Linked DNA regions of Schizosaccharomyces pombe. The protein of the gene in region 4 interacts with the protein of the main gene of each other region in a pairwise test. Each region holds a gene or a part of one and is shown on either strand. Other genes may lie near its edges.

Region 1 (4,150 bases), on a different chromosome or scaffold from region 4:
TACTAACTGCAATCACAGAATATCCAACTCGTCCCCCCAAATGTAAGCATATAACTACGATTTTTTGCTAATGCTTTTGTACAGGTAGGTTTACTCCACCGTTATTTCATCCAAACGTTTATCCTTCTGGCACCGTTTGTCTCTCAATACTTAATGAAGAAGAAGGCTGGAAACCGGCAATTACAATTAAGCAGGTAAGAATTCAAATCAATTTCTTAATCTCCAGGTTTTAACCATTTCTAGATTTTGCTGGGTATTCAGGATCTTTTAGATGATCCTAATATTGCCTCTCCCGCTCAAACAGAAGCATATACAATGTTCAAGTAAGTATCATAACTACTGTTTCCACAACCATCAAATATAATTAACCTCGTTTAGAAAGGATAAAGTCGAGTACGAAAAACGAGTTCGTGCTCAGGCTCGTGAAAATGCTCCATAAACTGACTGGTACTTTTTCTTATTTTTTATTGTTTAATATTATTTTTCCTGATGTGTATATTTCTTTGCTTGACTAGTTGAGATAAAATCTCAATCTTATTAGCGGTTTCACAAGTCGGTTGCTTTTTGTTTGTTAGGATAAAAGATTGATACAAGATAATACCACTAATTATTTAAATATGTTTTTTTTAAAAAGTTCATTAAATCAACCACGTCTTAAGTGATAGAATTTACCTCGACAAATTCCTTTAAATCAATTAGAAAGTAAACTATAATTTAATAATTGTATGCCCTCAAAAAATGGTCACTATTTAAATATAGTGTTTTTTTTTTACAACTAAGACAGTAGAATGTACTTTAATAAGCACAATCAAGGTTTCAGAACATTAAGCAACCAAAAATAGTATTTTAATGATCAACAATAAACATTCTTTTTAGTAATGCTCAAACGCTATCTACTGTGGGTGCGATTGATCACCGCTGACACCATGCATTTGAGCATAAATTTGCTGTTGATAATATTGTACATACGCATTGTATCCTCCATAAGCTGCGTACGGATCTACTCCTGGAGTAGTTAAACCAGGCGTACCAGTCCCTGGTGCTTCTGTACCAGGAGCACTAACTCCAGGAGCACCAAACATAGTAGGCATACCCTGTAAAGGCATAGAAGAAGTCGTCGGTACTGCAATAGATGAAGTGACACCAGGAGGCATTGCCATAGCTTCCATTCCTGGAACAGCTGGAATAGATGGTACGGGTAACGATGGTGTTACTAATGGTGCAGGGGAAGCATTAGTTGGTTGAGTTTTTTCTTGTCGTGAGTCTCGTGCGGAGAATGCCTGATTCCGGTTTGGTGGATTGTAGGCACGATTTCCTTGATTTTGATCACGATCTTTTGGTTGTGACTTCCAAGCTTTATACTGTTGGTGGACACTGGCTATTAAATCCTCGCATAAAACCTTAGCTCTTTGGATGGCATTAGGATCGTGACTCATGATGCACAAATGTATAGGTTCGTCTGATTCGCGGTTTGTCGATGGCTCTATGAAAGCAGAACCTTGCCCTTTAATCTGAACACGGGTGCGAGTTTCCTGTTGTATATGCTTTACATATGCTCCCTGTGGGCCAACAATTGCTTGACGTAAATGAAATCCACGACTTGGAGTTAAATTAATATATACTTTTTCTTCTAGCCACTTTCGTCGCGGTTGACCGTTTTCCCCATTACCATTGCCATGCGTTGAAAAATTACGAGGCGAGTTAGAGTTATTCCTTTCATTATCTTCTCGGCGGCGAAATCTTCGCTCGTCGATTAAAGGACCCATGTCTTTATTAATCCAAGATTCAATTTCCTGCAGGGCAACCGTTAGATCTTTCCTGTTATGCGATACTATGTGGAGATAGAGTGGAGGATCCTTGTCAGTAGCTAAAGCTTTATTTGGATAATATCGTCCTTTGGAAAATAATTGCACGCCACTTTTATTCTCGATCTCAGAAAGGGTTGAGGCACGCACCAAAATGTAGCGATTACGCACATTGTTAATTTCAACATCCTGCATAAAGACACCGTCCCCTTCTATAACCTTGCTAGTAATATCGGCCATAGACGGAGGAATATCAACTGCGGGTCCCTCAGAACTTGGAGGAAGTGGAGGAGCAGGTGCACTTGGAGGTGACGCAGATGTCGTTGAGGTTATCCCTTCTGAATGATCATATGAAGTCCTGCTGGACGTTGCTTTTGTACTTTGTAATGATTCGGCGATCCGTCTGGCGGCAGCAGCTGCTGCCTCAGCTCCATTGTTTGTCGGTTCTTCGATTGGCGGATGCGCTGGGGCAAAACCTGATGAAGAAGATTTCCATCTTGAATCTCTAGCAGGACTTCGACTTCGAGAACGCTCTTGAAGGTGTTCTTCTTTGCGATAATATCTTGATTCTCGGGGTGCCTCATTGCCCGACCGCTGTGAATCTCTTCTACTATACGAATCCTCCGTAAACCTAGATCGTCTATCCCGAGAATAATTATCTTCCCGTTGGGAATTTTGTCTTGAATCAGACATGAAACTTAACTTTAGCTATATACGCAAACTGTGTGGACATAGTAGAAGTAGTGCTTATACGAAAAAGTCAAAGAAGGAGGTTGAACGAAGCACGTTATATAATAATTTTTTAAGACAAATGTATGGTGGATGTTTTACATGTTTGAGCAAATGGCAATTTCATATATATATATATATTTATTTATTTGTTTGTTTATTTATCTATTTATAATACATGCAGTCAGCAAAGGCTTAAATTACCTATTTGTACTGCTCTGAAAACAAATTCTATCAGAAGAATAAACTCAATTATAGTGACAAGTTTTTCAATAAAGCATTTCCCACATTCGTAATCGCCTTAGAAAACTGTGAACAACCTCAATTACATCCTTGCCATATACTGTAGAAGGATCCACATTCTTTGCTAAGACATTATCTTCATGATAGCGAGCTTCGTTCCGTGTCATAGCTACAAGATTGGTGTGATCAAAAGGTAATTGTGGGTTCCATCGAACAACAGTGACTTTTTGAGACTCATGCGGGGGAAGAGCGCTTCTACCAACGTAAACCTCCTCAATGATATATGACATCTCAGATGCATTAAAAGTTTTATCTAGGTTTACTCCAGCTTTGCGAGCTTCAGCATGTAAACGTTTAACAGCCTCTTCGTATAAGCGAGGACGCGTCATGGTAGAAATGGGATCCATAGGGTATTTAGCAATAGAAGTCAAAACATAAGTAGCAATTGTAAGTCCAAAAATACCAGGCATAGGTCCTATTACAGGAAGAATACGAGCACGGAATTCGGGTAAAGCACTCAACTCATCAACGTCTCCTTTTTCAAACTCTTCCTCAGAGAGAGGTAACAAACTTGCTTTTCTAGGATCTGGTTTTTCAGTAGAAAATACGACAGGAATACCTTCCATAATACCAAGGAGACGCAACCTACGACGAGTAGCTCTTGATAAAGGATCTTCAGAAGTAGCTGATATATCTGCTATGTTAACACGAGTCGGATCAGATTTGCATGCAGACCCGGTAGAAGCAATTACGGGAAGTTTGTGGTTGTAGCAATAACTTAATAAATCAACTTTAGTTTGGATGTTATCTATAGCGTCGATTACAAAATCAGGATTGCCAGACAAAAGATCGTCGGCGGAGTCGGGATTGAAAAGTGCGTTACGAGCATCTACTTCAATCCAAGGGGCAAATTTTTTAATCGCCTTTTTTATAGCAAGAGTCTTTGGAGTACCAACATCTTGCAACGTGGCTATGGAATGACGATTTAGGCTACTAAGAGATACTTGATCAAAATCGACAATTCTAATTTTTTGCACACCAGAGCGTGCAAGCATATTAATCACCCAGCTTCCAACACCACCACAGCCTACGACGATAACAAAAGAGTTGCGCAGACGCTCCATACCGTCTTCTCCAAAAAATGCATAATTTCGAGCCAGCTGTTCACGTATCAGATTTTCATCGTACGGAACGCCTTTGCTTATTCCTTCATCCTCTTCCCCAGCATCATAAATTTCTATAGGTACACCAGAAGAAGAAAGTTGAATACTTTTACCAGCTTCAGGAACAATCATCGACTGTAAGCGACGAATTGAGCGATGTTTACGAAACTCCAACGTTCCAAGGATTACGCATGCTGTCGTTACAGAAGA
Region 2 (3,704 bases), on a different chromosome or scaffold from region 4:
TCTATTGACTCGTTATATACCACGAGATGAAACCCTATGTATGTGTAGTTTGAATGCGGCACTGTATGTTGTTCTATCGGTTTTTTTTTTAAACTTGCACTCTTCTGGTTTGAAATGATTTGGCTGTTATAATTACAAGTTGCAATTCGGTTAATTAGCGGTACTTACCTCTTCTATGTTAAGATAAACATGTACTTTTAATGAAGAAAGTATACAAATCTGACGAAGTATTGGGATAAAAGACTCTGAACTAACCGATTTACGCAATATTAATAGAAGCTAATCTGACAGCTTTAAATTTCAAATTTCAGATTGTATACAGCCAAAGTATACACGTACGCATTTCGAAGTAGACTGGGTTTGACGTGTGCGAGATAATGAACATAATAGATATTTTTTAGAATCTTTTAATACTTGCGCATAAAATGTTACGTATGAACAAGCATGAATTGTTTCCACAGCTATAGATACAGCACTTATGTTTACCTATATCTAAACTGTTGCATTGAATCATTCCTACATAAACCTAAAAAACAACAACACAGGGATATCAAAATTGCTTGCTTGCGAGCTTTTCTATGTGCACTTCTAAAATTGCCCAGCTCTACTTAATACTTTCAGAAAGTCCTACCTTAATAAAATTCAATTTCACTTTAGCAAAATAACTGAGTATAAACATAAAAAATTTTTTAACGGTATCGACTTAATATCTATTGCGCAATATACTCACATAAAAAGCTCATAAACAAATATTTAGTTCCATGTTTCTCAGTCTCACCAACCAGGACCGCCATGACCTCCAGGACCACCCCCAAAGCCTCCGGGGCCTCCTCCAAAACCTCCAAGACCGCCTCCAAAGCCGCCAGGACCGCCTCCGAAGCCACCAGGACCGCCCTCAAAACCTCCAGGGCCGCCTCCAAAGCCACCGTGACCACCATGATGATGGCCTTCACCTCCAAAGCCTCCAAAGCCTCCAAATCCACCAGGACCAGGAGGAGGACCGCCAGAACCACCACCAAAACCTCCGAAACCACCACCGTTATGACCACGATGGTGAAAGAGATTGCCAAGTGCGTGTGAAGCCAGGCCACCTAAGGCCAATCCACCTAACCCTGCAGCGACAGGAGCAACGTAGCTTGGTCTACTGTAAGAGTTGCCAGTGGTGTAGCCATTAGAAGAGGTAAGCCCACTGAACAGCCCTTTATCACTACCATCTGCATTGGTAGTGGTAGTGGCAGCAGCATTAGGATAGTATGCAGCATTGGTATTGGCAGGGGCATTGGGGTTATATGCAGCGCTGGTAGTAGCGGCAGCATTGGTAGTCGTGGCAGTGTTAGCATTGGCATTTGCAGCAGTATTAGCATTGTATGCAGCATTCGTATTCGCAGCAGAAGTATTGTTATTGTTATTATACACAGCTGTATTAACGCTTGTGGCTCCTGGAGGAGGAGCAAGTTTCAGATTTTCGACTGGTGGTTCCCATTGGGGCTGTGGATTTTGAGCTGACTCGTTAACATAAAAGTATGTTCCATATTCAGCATCCCATTGAGCAACCCATCCACTGGGCAAACCTTCACGAGTTTGATAGACAGACATTTTTTATATGATTAATTCTGTAAAGACACAGAGTAAAAACCTATATAAACGATATAGAGGCTTAGAAAGATTCTAACCAAAGAAAAGAAAAATGTTATAGGCAGATATTCAAAAATCACTCTCTAAGATCTATATACTTAATTTTTCGAGTATTAAAGATAGAAAGTTTTGGTGGTAAGCTGTATCTGTTAGGGAAAAGGAGAAATCGCGCAGTGGTATAGAACGATTATAAAAGAAATGAAAATCTGATACGCTACAGATCATTACATAAGAGGCTGATGTAGTGGTAGTAGCATTATGCAAATTTCGTTATTTTACTATATCGTGATTGCCCCAAACCATAATTCGTCATTCCTAGTTTACGAATTTACGAGTTCCATTAAAGTGGTATTAACGTGTTTTTAAAAGTACTTCACTAATTATCGAAAGCTGTTCATGGAAAATAGACTGCCAATTTGTTTTATTCAAACTCAGAATATCAGGGTTTCACTAATGCTGCTTGACTTGAAACATAGCTAATTGAAAAAGGAAAATTGCTCTTATTACCCTTTTTAATCGCCGGCTTTGCTTAAAAACAAACGGTTTTGCATTGCTATGAAAACCCTCGACATTCATTTGATAATTGCCAGGTACAAATTTACGTATCCTTACTGAATAATCGTAATATGAACAAATAAATGTTGTACCGTAGATAATATTTCTTAATTTTGAAATATATTAACTTTTCTTATTTCATTATGTGTATCCAAGAGCCAAGTTATATTTCTCTTATTTTAAACAGCTTGATAAATACAGGTTTTAAACGATTCAAATGATATCTGTTTGTCTTTTAAAATAGTGGTATGACATCCCATAAGTGTAAAAAAAATTTTTTTTCTTTCTGCCTTAATTTTTTCGGAATTGTGCATTTAATCCAAAACCAAACAAATATCTGAGTTTGCCAATTATATAGTCAGTAATACACCACTATAAACTATTCAACTAAAATACCCAAAAAAAAAGGACAACTAGTAATGAAAAAACAATGATAATAATAAATGAAAGATATATAATTGACTATTTTAAATCATGCATAATAAACTAATTTAACGTCTGAAAAAACAACCATTGATTTTTTAAAAGTTTCAAAAATTGTGCTTCACCCAATTTTTTACAATTAACCAAAAAAAAATATAAATAAATAAGTAAATACACGTCGAAGTGATAAATGCCAAAAAAATGATTCCATCGACAACCAACTCCGTCGATATTCACACCCATTATAATATATGCTCCTTACTTCTTTGGTATTAAACAGAAATTTTATAAATTAGACCGTTTTCCTCGAAATCCCAATAAAGAATGCAATGGTACAATAAATAAGGAAGCTTGAAACAAGTAAAGATCAGATGATAACAAAATTAATATAAGTAAACAAGAAATTAGGTCAAAGAACGACTAACAGAATATAACAATTTTAGAACGATTAGCAAAAATAGTATGAAATTTCAAGGGAATAAAAAGAACTTCACTGGATATCGTGTTTTCCATTTAACAATTTCGAAAGAGTCGTATACGTGAATTTGGTGATTCTATTCAAAGGAGAAAGTGATGTTCTCAAAAAAAAAGAGCGATTCCATAATCAACGACCATAGTATGTAGGACGAAATCGGAACCAAATTTAAATAAAAATCAACGCTTTTCATCTGCGGCCACGTCCACCACGTCCACCCATGCGTCCACCACCGCGGCCGCCGAAACCACCGTGAGGACCATGAAGTGGGCCATGATGGCCACCACCGATTCTTGGACCAAACAAAGGGCCTCTGGGAGGAGGAGGGGCGTAGTAAGCACGGTGACCACGAAGAACACTGCCGGCTAAAGCTCCAACCATGAAACCTCCTAATCCAGCCGTCATAGACCGTGAGCCGTCAGAAGAGCGAGGCACGTCCTTTTGATAGACGACGGTAGTGGTACCGGGAGGAGGAGGAATATGCAAGCCTGGAATAGGAGGCTCCCACTGTGGTTGAGCACCTTCAAACGTTTCATTAATGTAAAAGTAAGCTTGATAAGTTGGATCCCATTGGGCGACCCAACCAGCTGGCAAGCCCTTGTAAGTTTGATAAACA
Region 3 (6,241 bases), on a different chromosome or scaffold from region 4:
AAGAAGTTGGACTGCTTGCTCGTTTACTCCATATGTACATGATTCTTCACTCTCTTTACATCGAGAACAAGGATATTGGCGGTCACATTTGACTTTTCGGCGCCTGCATCTCAGACAAGATCTAGCTCGAATATTTTTGTGGGCCCTATTTTTAGATTTCCCAACCATAATTTACCTAATTACGGTATTTCTTCTGTAGTAGAAAGTTGGATATTTCTATAAAATACAATTCACCATAAAAAATTATACGCACAAACTAAAGGTTTCATTCAGTATTAACCTGATAACCATCGAACTTTTAAGCTGGGATTATGCTTCAATTGAATCGATGAGACTACTAATATTTTACTGCAAACATTTTTATGAATGCAAAGGCGGTGTCAACGTTGTGTGGTGGTAAATATTGAGTGTGCAGGCTTAATTATTTAAATTCTTCAACGTCTAAAATACAGTGTAAGCATCAGATCTCGATACCATTTTTTTCGCAGAGCTTTTATTTAGAAGATTTTTATAGGGATCATTTTTTTAGCCTAGATGCCAAAGGTACTCAACAATACGTTCCACAGTTGGGTTTGCAGTTGCTTACAAAATAAACAGCTAATTGTCATTTTAGTAATTATACATTCCATCGTGAAAGAAAATGCACACTATTAAAGTTTTTAGTTCATCAATTGCTTTGCAGTAATCCATTATAATGTAGAACTTCAACGTAACTTTACTCCAAAATTTTTAGCTTTTAACACTACTTGGTTATTCATTGCTGATAATAATGCGCGTAAATATCACTAGCTAATGGACATGAAGCAGTAGGCTAACTCTCTAAGCTTGATCAAAAGATCAAAAAGCAAATCTATCACAAACATCTAGGAAGACAGATAATCTAGATATTCAATCGTTCTATTATTCAATAAACATAAAAAGCTAATCATCAACCAAACAAAATATCACTTAATTAAAAGGAACAAAAAATAAGTTTTTTAAAAATGTCAATGTTTTTTCTCATGAGCAAACCCTAAAAGTTGGAGCTAGAACCCTTATTAAAGATAAAAAGTGAAGCAAGAATTATTGCAGAAAAAAAAATTTTGAAAACAAAAGTGAGTTTCTATGCTTAACAACATTGATCGCTCACTCGGTTCTTTTAGAGTTTGAGGAACTTGGATGGTCAGGAGAATTATTAGAACCATCTCGGACAGTAGGATAAGCAACTTGGTTAGTCATGGAAGGTGGTTGAATGAAGGGATACGGCATGCCAGATTTTGCAGCTCCAGGTGCCATCATAACCCCTGAAGTAGGCAGTGGTAGCATTTGTTCTGACAAGGGAAAAGGCGGGTGCTGGTAAGGATACTGTGAATATGCTTGGAAAGCCTGAGGCATATTCGAAGTTGGACTCATGTATGGAGGGTATGAAGTATTATACGGGAAAGGTACTGGAGAATAGGTGTTCGGAACATAAAAACCATTCGCTGTTGGCATTGAAGAACCATAATTAATCATAACCCTATCATGAGGGTATACATTACCATCAGAATAGGAAGGATATCCGTTTTGTCTAGGATAAGATTGATCCTGTGTACGCCCACCATACGTAGGCATAGGGAAATTTGTTGGTGCATTTTGAAACTGGGCAGGATTATAGTAACCTGGGTAAGGAGCATCTGAATAAAATATTTGTGCTTGCGGAAACTCTCTAGGTATATTACTAGTTCTCTGCGAAAAGTTGTTTGGTAGTTGTCCTGTAACATCCGGGGTCGCATCCAAATTTTCAGTACCAGATGAGTTCATATCATACGCAATTAGCAAGTTCTTGATTGCCTCCATTATTGTACTATAGTAAGTGGATTCGCGGTATATCATTTGTAGACAATGAAATCCTAATCTTGCCTTAGTTATGAAATTATTAGATTTATTGGCATCGTCCTTCGTCAAAGTAGCACAATATGTCAAGGTCATTAACGCGTAGTATCCAGAATACAAATTGAAAAACAGTTTGGGAGTATTTGGAGATTTGGCCAATTCCTGTAACAAAAAAACAACACGCTCCGCAGATTGTGCACACTTTAAAGCAAAATTTGCAGGTTTCATTGGCGACCCATTCTGATTATCAATTGGTGTACTAATACTGTGAATAAAAGGGCGATAGAAAATGAGTTCTATTTGCCTGAATTTCAATTCCAGTATTATTGCTTGGATCCATTTGGGTGAAAATTTTGGAACTTCGCTCATTTTTAAATAAGAAGGTAAGTTTTTCCACCAATATGTAAGTTTTTCTTCATGATCACGAACAGCTGGTAATGAAACTTTACAGTGTGAGTCAGAGGGCGATTTGACTGGATACACTTTCCTTACAAAATGACTTAAAATACGAGAAAGCGTTATGTGTTGTATAAAAACTTCCAAGCTAGTGCATTCTGATGCTATTAATCGTGGAGGAACCTGGTCATTTTCTAATGTGAAATCAAAAGAATTGGGTAACGATTGATCAATATCAACGTCCTCAATACTGAGAGGAAGACCAACAATTGTACTGGTGTAACAAGCCAAAACGTACACAGAATAAAATACCCGTTTGGATAACCGAGATTCATGAGATGTGAGAACGTCTGAAAAATCCTTGTGCAATCCCAATTCGTGGCAACACAATAACGCATTATTCGTGAACGTATAAGCTTGAGAAAGTCGGGAACTGAACAAAGCAAAAAGCGCAACAGACAATAAAATTTGCACAACTTCAATCGTATAACTATCTTCCCATGAAAATGAAGACCGAATGTAATAGTAATACTCGTAAGCTTCATGATAAGGATAGTTAGCACTAGGAGATTCATCGGGCATATAGGTGTAACCCAAGCACAATGTAGCGACAAGTAAAAAATGAAAATTGTTATCAGTCTTGCCAGTTTTGTAATACATATGCATCTTCTCAAAGAAAGATGCAGGATGATGAATATGTACCAAAAAATGGTCATTCATAAAAAATTGGCTAACAATAGAAAGAGCCTCCTCATATGGAGGTAGCTGAATTTTGAGAGGCGGTTTTTTATGTTCATCTTCGGCAGGGGTGGGTGGAAGATACGGAAAAGATAAAGGATCTGGCTGAGAAGAAGATGAATTAGATTCTTGGACAGGATTGGGAACCGTAGAATTCCTCGCAATGTTTTGATGTATATTTTTCATAAAGACAAAGCCAGAGGAACTTCCACGAAAGTCGGCTTTCCCATCATCTTTTAAACTCAATTGTCCATACCGGTCGAATAAGCTTTCAAACTCGTCCTGTGACGAGCTTCTTTTAGAGGAATCAGAGCGTTTCCAAGGAGATTGGTTCACAGGAGAATCTTTGTCATTTGGAGGAGCCAGAAATGATGGCAACTTTAAATTTGGATCGCTTTCTTCAGCCAGTCCCCTCAGATATTTCAATCGAAGCTCCAAAAATTCTATATACTTCTCAGGAGCATGCCGTAATCGCTTAAAAGGTTGACCATAAGTACATTCTTCAACAAAGTTAGAAAACTCCATCCAATTATAATAGAGGCTTGAAATAAATTTTAAAGCGACTAAACTTGAAGAAAATAATCTCATCTAAATTGTAGGCACTTACCATAGTTATATGCTATGCAATTCGAGCAAGGCTGAAAAAGTTAGTAAAGAACAGAAATTTATATTTATTTCTAATCGCTCATCCAAATTAATGCAAATAAGATAGAAAAAGAGCAATAAAAGCCAAAAAAATAATAAATTAACGACAAAGGTTATCCGCATGCTCTCTAGCTGAACTGAAATCAATCAAGCTACAATCAACTTCAGAGAAAGCGGTAACTGGGTGAAGTGAGTTCTCAGTTCCCAACTCAAATAATAAAATTATGCAAAACATAAATAGAGCAAAGAAATTGACATCTTACCCTTCTCTGATCACATTTGATCTTTCTCCTGTGACATTCATCACATGCTCTAGAAACACGCTGTCTACGAGATACATCGCCGGAAGACATTCAGCAGCCTATCAATAAACTATGTTGAAGCCTGCTAACTTCAAACTTGAGGGAGAACAGGTCTTTTAATTTGTATTTATCGAATCGTTGTTACCGGTTTTTACAACCGAAAGTTAACGCAAGTGAGCAAAAATGCAGTTTATCATTCAAAATTTAACGCTTTGAAACTAAAGGAATTTGGTGCTTTAGATAGGTAAATAAATAAATAAATGGTGATCGCTGCGAAGCGATTATGGATGATATACGCGACAGGTTAAACCTACGAGAGTGTGTGCCAGCGATCGTATACATCCGCTAAATAGTAATTACTCGTTACTTCACGTTAGCATACATGTGTAGGTGAAGCAATGAGATTATACCATGCTAAATGTTTTTGTTGCGGTATGTTAAATATCGTTATAAGCCTGACATCTTCACGTGTGAGTTCTCCAATGAGTCCTGAAGCTGGAACCATCAAGCCGTTTATTGACTATTTTCAATATTACTGAAGAAAAAAGTATGGGAAATAAAGATCATTCAAGATCAAGTTTGTCTGTTCATGTAAGCCACATATTATTTATTATAATATCAAAGTCTCTCCGTGCCTGAGTTATGTTCGGTAACTGTATATTGCATAATACTTTCTGTTGTGTACCACACATTATAGTGCGCTACGAACTCACCAAATAATATTACGTATCCTACAGAGACTTCGCGAATCGCGTAGTTAGTAAAAATATGGAAAATAACGTGAGTAAACAGTTGAGCGTTAATATTGCAGCCACACAAAATCGGTTGATTGAAAGCGAAATAATGATTCGGAATTTCCATAAAACACAATTAATACTCTTAGTGTATTCATGTAATAGCTTGTACAGTTCTCAAAATAAATCTTCAGTAGACACGTTTTAAATAATAGGGTAATTACTAGGATATGCACGCGACCGTTAGACGCCATTACATGTGCAAAAAACACTGAGTGCTGAAAAGCTAAAATTATTACAAGTCTTGCAGAGTTATGATTGTTTGAGTTTTTTTTTTTTATAAGTTAATCCTACGCCAATATATTAAGAGGATTTTTTTAACTGCTTAGTATTTAAAAAAGTATATCGAAGATCCGGTATCTTGATTGTTTACAAAAATATAAATAGCAACGATAACAAAGACGCATTGTTGACAAAAATAAAAAATGTACAAATATTTAGAAAAATGTATATTTTAATTTCTATGTATCTAAAATGATGGTCAATATTAGTTATACCGTGAAGCGCTGGCAACGGAAGGTAAACGAATGTTGACAACAACAAACGAGTGTAAATAAACACACACCAACAGCACAATTGCTGTAGAAAGGAAAAATGACTGTTCGCAGACTCGAAAGCAAGTCTGAGCATATATCAGATGACGAGGAGAGAAAAGAACAGTTAGATTACAAAAAGCAAATGGATGTAGACACAGATCGTAACATTGTATTGAATGGTCGCCTGGAATCCCAAATTGCGAAGTTGTCCGTTCCACCTCACGAAATGAGAGTGGTCGATGATTATTCGAACAGTAAAAATGCGGAAAGACACTCTGGAGAAATACAAGCTTATGCGAAATTCGCTGGAAGTACATGGACTTATTATGTTAAGAAAATTCGAATTATACTTGGTCGCGAACCAGCAAATCCTTCACCAAAGGGGAAAAATGAAGATTTAGAAGTAATTGATATGAATTTTGGTCCTTCTAAAGTTGTGAGTCGAAAACACGCTGTTGTGGAATATGATTTGGATGACCAAACATGGAATTGCTCAGTTTACGGTCGAAATGGCATTAAAGTAGATGGCAAGTTATTCAAGAATGGGGAAACAGTCAAGCTTACAAGTGGGTATGTTAAAAATCATTTACTAGAATAGTGTTGGTTCGTCGTGATTTGCGACAGGACGGAATATTGATGGTTTCAGCAGCGCATAATTTATGCTTTACTCTTTCATAAGTTCTATGGTTTTCTCGTGTTATTTGTCAATTTTAAACGAATGTTTGGTTATTTTATAAATGCGCGTTAAGGATTTGTCAAATTATCAAGAAAATAATTATTTCCGTCCTAGTTCAAATAAATGCAGGAAATTATGCCAATTATTTTTTTTTATTTCTTTTTCGTCTTACTAATTATCTACTAGATCTATACTCGAAGTAGCGGGTTTACAAATGATGTTCGTACTACCCAATGCAGCTGAGCAAAAGCAAACTGACGAAAGCACTATAAAGGAGGATGCTATAAAGTCTGAAATTTC
Region 4 (4,608 bases):
AATAAGTCCTATATTCAGCCAGGGATTACAAAGGTACAAACATTTTATTGTATCCAAAAAATAAAGTTTCTGTTGTACTGACTCTGTTTTTAGGTTCAAGATCCCGAAACAAGGAAGGATTACATGAATGCCATTAATAATTTCTCTAGTAACGTTCAGGAAGGTGCTAAGCAATCATTTACACAACTTAAATCCTTTTTGGATGAAAATGTATATTCCGAAAACCCCCAAAACACCCGCGGTACTTATGATGCGGAAATCGACTCTCCTTATTCAGCTCTCGCTGCCTCTCCTCCACCTGAAGACTATTCGAAAAAGAATTTCGATAAGCACGATTGACTTTTTTATTATTAAACTCGTAAGCAGTTTGATATGTTTCATTGCTGTTAGGAGTGCCTCGTCTATCAAGCATTCGTCAGCTAAAACATAAACGAAGAACGCTACCGATAAAAAAAATATTGCTACTTCATTAGAATTATCTGACATTTGAAGCTTCTTCAAGTATAATACATGGGGAACTGAAAAAAAAAGTTTGTATATATTGAAGACGGAGTCTTCTTGTTTATTTCTGTTACAAAAGTTTCATCGTTTTAGGCTTATAGTTCAAAACAATGAAAAAAATGATAATAACATATTTTATTTTCATTAGCATAAGTTGAATGCCGGCTAAATTTTAAGAAGATAACCGGATCATGTGCTTTCTTGAATAAAACCAATGACTTTTTTCTTTTTTAGTCGACGATGCCTAATCGGTATGTAGAGTGGATTTTAAAAGAAAACAGGAAAGACGAAGATATGAGGATATAGGCATTGCCGGTCATTTTCCAAAACAAAAATGCTGGTCATAACATAATTAAATCAAAATGCTTAAAAGCTCAATGATAAAAATCATTCTAACAAAAGACAATAAGTCATTGACCCATCAAATATGGTCATAAGGCGCACTGCCTCCAGTGTCTAAGTTAGACAACGGCTGGCTAGTAGCATTGGCTGATTCGTTACTAACTGGTACGTAATACTGATTTGGGTCATAGTAATAAACGAAACCGAAGGGGGGAGTTGAGACCTGACTAGCAGGTGAATAAGATCGTAAAGTATCGGCAGCAGGATTGGACATTACATTCATATCACTGCCAGAAAATGGAGGAGGCATATAAGGATAGACCGCGGGAACGGTGGAATCATAATTTTGAGGAAACGACCAGTAAGTCGGCATAACAGAGTAGGATTGATATGCAATCGGACTATTGGCAGTAGGTAAAGGGGTTGTGTACATGGTTCCCGGTGCTGCAGGTGCATTACCAGCGGGAACATTGGTCATGGATGGCATTTCACCGGTAGTCATATTCGCAGAAATATAAGCTTGCTGAGAATCATCTCTTGCACGTACATTAGAGGGATATATGGAAGTAGGGTACGTAGCGGAATCAGCGCTAGGATGCATATCCACAACAGGAGCGTTAGAAGATCCCGGTGTGGCCGAAGGGGACTTTGAAGTTGATGGAAATTCCTCTTGAAATGAGGGTGAAGGATACATTTTGTCATTTGTAATAGGAAAATCGTAAGGGACAAATCCAGGAGGAGCAGAATGAGTTGGTACAGTGGCTGGAAGAAAAGCCATATGTGGATGGGAAGAGACGTTAGGGGAAAAAGGAATAGGCGGAGCTGCAGAAGGTAAAGGGGAGAAAGGTAAGGGATACATTCCCATAGGAGGAACATTCATTTTATGTTTGGGTGTAACCAGTGCTGGTTGGGATCCAGGTATACTGACGCGAAGAACTTTGTTCTGATGGAGACGGGGATTATGCACGACATGGACAATTTTCTTTTTAGGTTGAAAATTGATGGCTTTCATAGAAGAGTTTCCAAACTTTACACGGATATCGAGGATCCTTGACGATTTACGATACCCCGAATTTTTTCCCTCTTTCCCTTGGGAATTAGGAAAAGAGGTGTTATTAAGAGGCTCCTCAAAATACTGCGTATTAGGAGTATAACCACCTCGTTTGTAGTTCTGATATCCATAAGCCATACCAGCTTCCCTTCTGGAAGGCATGGATGAGGGAACAGATAAATACTGCGGATCCGCTTCCAAAGGTTTATACATTGAGAAGGGATAGATATTGCCGGGAGCATTATTTAAACCAAAATATGGCATGGAGTCAATTCCCCCGGTAGCGTTTATAAAATATGTAGAATTTTGTATAGGAGGATAAAAGTTTTTTCGGTTATTGTTATAATCATCTCTCTTGGGTTTTCTTCGATATCCTTGAGAATTTTTGTAATACGTCCTGTTGTTACCGTAATGGGTTTCTCGTCGGCTTACACCAAATCCATTACTTACAGGTAGCTCATCAAAGTTCTCAGTCTCCAAACCAATTTCCTCGGCGGTGACTTTCATATTTCCTTCTTTTCGCGATTTAATATCTGTGGACGCGTCATCGTTCGATGGAACTTCAGGATTTTGATTTTCCTCTTGAACAATTCTTTCGACCGCCTCCTTCTCTCTTTCAGCGCCCAATCGTTCAAATTCCGCCATTTCTACCTCAATTTTCTCCATTTTCTTATTTAAAATTGAAGTTTCATCTTCATTCATTATTTTAAGTCAATTCAAAGCAGAAATATTCAATTCCGCTTGAATTCCAATATCCGTCTACTGTATTGTTAAGGCCGGGTACATTGCTCGCGTATGGCAATGAATACATAGTGCATGCTTTAGCTTGCGGACCGTAAAATGTAAAATAACATTACGCGTTCTAACGCATTGATAAGATTACTTAGCAGGTTGCAATGCGGAAATCTTAAGATAATAGAAATCTAGAATATTACCATTGTTTCTAGTAGTATTAACAATTAAAATAGGAAAATAAATTAATTAAATAATATTCAAAGATGAAACGACCGATTAGATTAATAGAAACGTGGCTTGTAGTTAGATCGCCGGATTATTTATTTATATGAGTTCCAAAAAAAAAAACAGAAAAAGAGTATTTATAGAATCATTATATCGGGTAGTATATGTACATATTTGAGCACAATTCAACAATATTAGCACATTATAAAAAAGTAAGGCTGGTAAATTGGGATTTGGATGGAAAACCCTGAAGCGTCGTTGCATCAGCTGAGATGGATAAAGTAGACGAGACGACGCCAATAGGAGACATTCATATTAAAAAGTGTGTTGTAGTATCCGGCTTTGATACAATCCGTTCAGGTTGAGTGTCCCTGCGCCGCTTCATGGGGATGTCCACGCTTTCAATGACTCCATTGTGTGTTATGTAGTCCATAAATCATTTTAGGACGATCGTAGTTTAAAAGCAAACAACGAGTCAAAGTGGATTGATGCTCTTAATCGTTTTATAAATAAAAACCCAATTAATAGAAAAAAAAAGAGTCTTAATTATTTGATGAAACCTTCATGATATACTCATAAAATGTGAACTACTCAAGAATCATAAGCACGTGGGGATAAATATTCAATGGTAGCCGAAGGAAATAAAAAGTGCCGAGGTACTTTAACTAGCACCTCTGGACCGAAGCCTGTGCCCCCATTTTTCCCTAACAGGAGAGTGATCTTCAAAATCATAAATGTTATTTTCATTTTTCATGATTCGACGTTTTTTGATGCCGACATTTTCAGCTTTTGTTAAGTTGACCTCTTTATTATTATTCCTCCCATTCGAAATTCCACTCTTAGAGCTTGCAAAGTGCTGATCTATATATTCTAAATCATTTTTTCTTCGATACGCTTTCATTTCTTCATGTTGTATGTTATATTTTAAAGGTACCTTTGTAGTATCTGGTTTCTCATTTTCCATAGAGAGTCGTTTGTAAGAAAACGTATGAAGCAGGCTATATTCGGCTGCCTTTTTTTCTTTCTCACCAACAGAAAATTCTAGGGAATTTTGAGGAACGACTTTTTGAATCTGTTGTTTGAGATTTGATGAAGAGGGGGACAACAAGTCGTCAAGTTGAAAACTGTCGTCATTGCTTGAGGGCGAAAGTATCAAGTTTGAAAATTCTGGTAAAGAGTCTACCCTAGTGTCTACCCTAGTGTCTAACGCCGTGGATGGAGTCATGTCGGTTTGCGATATATCAACCTCTCTTTCATTCACTGCATTCAGCGGTTGAAGTTCGAGTTCATGTATTGAAGCTTCAGCATCAGAATTCGCCGTTTCCAATAAATTAAAGTCGTTATAGCAAATAGAATCACTTGGTCTAAAACCTTGATCGCCCCAAGTAGTAAATAATGTGGTGTCCGTATTTTCGCAATTGGCTTCACCTCCAAAGTTAAACGTTTCTTTACTCAACGCAATATTCTCAAAATTGGAGTGATTCAAAAAGAAGCTTGGTGTCCAATTGATAGCAAATGAAAACAACGCCTGAAAGATCAACTGTTCGAGAACGAATGACTTGATTTTAGGACGAACGACAATGTCCTCACGAAACGTAGTTGCATGTAAACTTGACAGAAAATTACACCTAGTATTTTCTCGCTTCTTGAAAGCCTTAATTATCGAGCGCCAGCTGGGTGCCTTTTTAGTACTCTTAATCCTCTTTTTTACTAACTGAAAAGAGCAATTATTCTTTCCTGTTTGTATTTGAGAT

What was found.
Region 1: the proteins of SPOM_SPCC622.15C (region 4) and SPOM_SPAC30D11.14C interact in a two-hybrid assay, tested with the Schizosaccharomyces pombe proteins (one large-scale study listed by BioGRID).
Region 2: the proteins of SPOM_SPCC622.15C (region 4) and wwm2 interact in a two-hybrid assay, tested with the Schizosaccharomyces pombe proteins (one large-scale study listed by BioGRID).
Region 3: the proteins of SPOM_SPCC622.15C (region 4) and ntu1 interact in a two-hybrid assay, tested with the Schizosaccharomyces pombe proteins (one large-scale study listed by BioGRID).

Annotation. Positions count from the first base shown.
Region 1 is NC_003424.3:1,090,789-1,094,938, reverse strand, and holds SPOM_SPAC30D11.14C (RNA-binding protein), read right to left. Parts: upstream 2,552-4,150; 5' UTR 2,499-2,551; coding exon 894-2,498; 3' UTR 560-893; downstream 1-559. Other genes in the region: small ubiquitin-like modifier-conjugating enzyme Hus5, read left to right, coding at 19-42, 85-194, 244-323, 379-439; tcd1 (Moeb/ThiF domain-containing protein), read right to left, coding at 2,804-4,150.
Region 2 is NC_003423.3:202,541-206,244, reverse strand, and holds wwm2 (protein wwm2), read right to left. Parts: upstream 1,787-3,704; 5' UTR 1,597-1,786; coding exon 775-1,596; 3' UTR 524-774; downstream 1-523. Other genes in the region: protein wwm3, read right to left, coding at 3,278-3,704.
Region 3 is NC_003423.3:4,241,745-4,247,985, reverse strand, and holds ntu1 (regulatory protein ntu1), read right to left. Parts: upstream 4,242-6,241; 5' UTR 3,987-4,241; coding exon 3,897-3,986; exon of another isoform or gene 3,829-3,896; intron 3,627-3,828; coding exon 3,596-3,626; intron 3,489-3,595; coding exon 1,126-3,488; 3' UTR 560-1,125; downstream 1-559. Other genes in the region: SPOM_SPBC16G5.17 (transcription factor), read right to left, coding at 1-168; DNA-binding forkhead transcription factor Fkh2, read left to right, coding at 5,324-5,835, 6,128-6,241.
Region 4 is NC_003421.2:1,428,184-1,432,791, forward strand, and holds SPOM_SPCC622.15C (uncharacterized protein), read right to left. Parts: upstream 2,667-4,608; 5' UTR 2,597-2,666; coding exon 923-2,596; 3' UTR 560-922; downstream 1-559. Other genes in the region: SPOM_SPCC622.14 (GTPase-activating protein), read left to right, coding at 1-33, 94-339; Jmjc domain-containing protein Epe1, read right to left, coding at 3,516-4,608.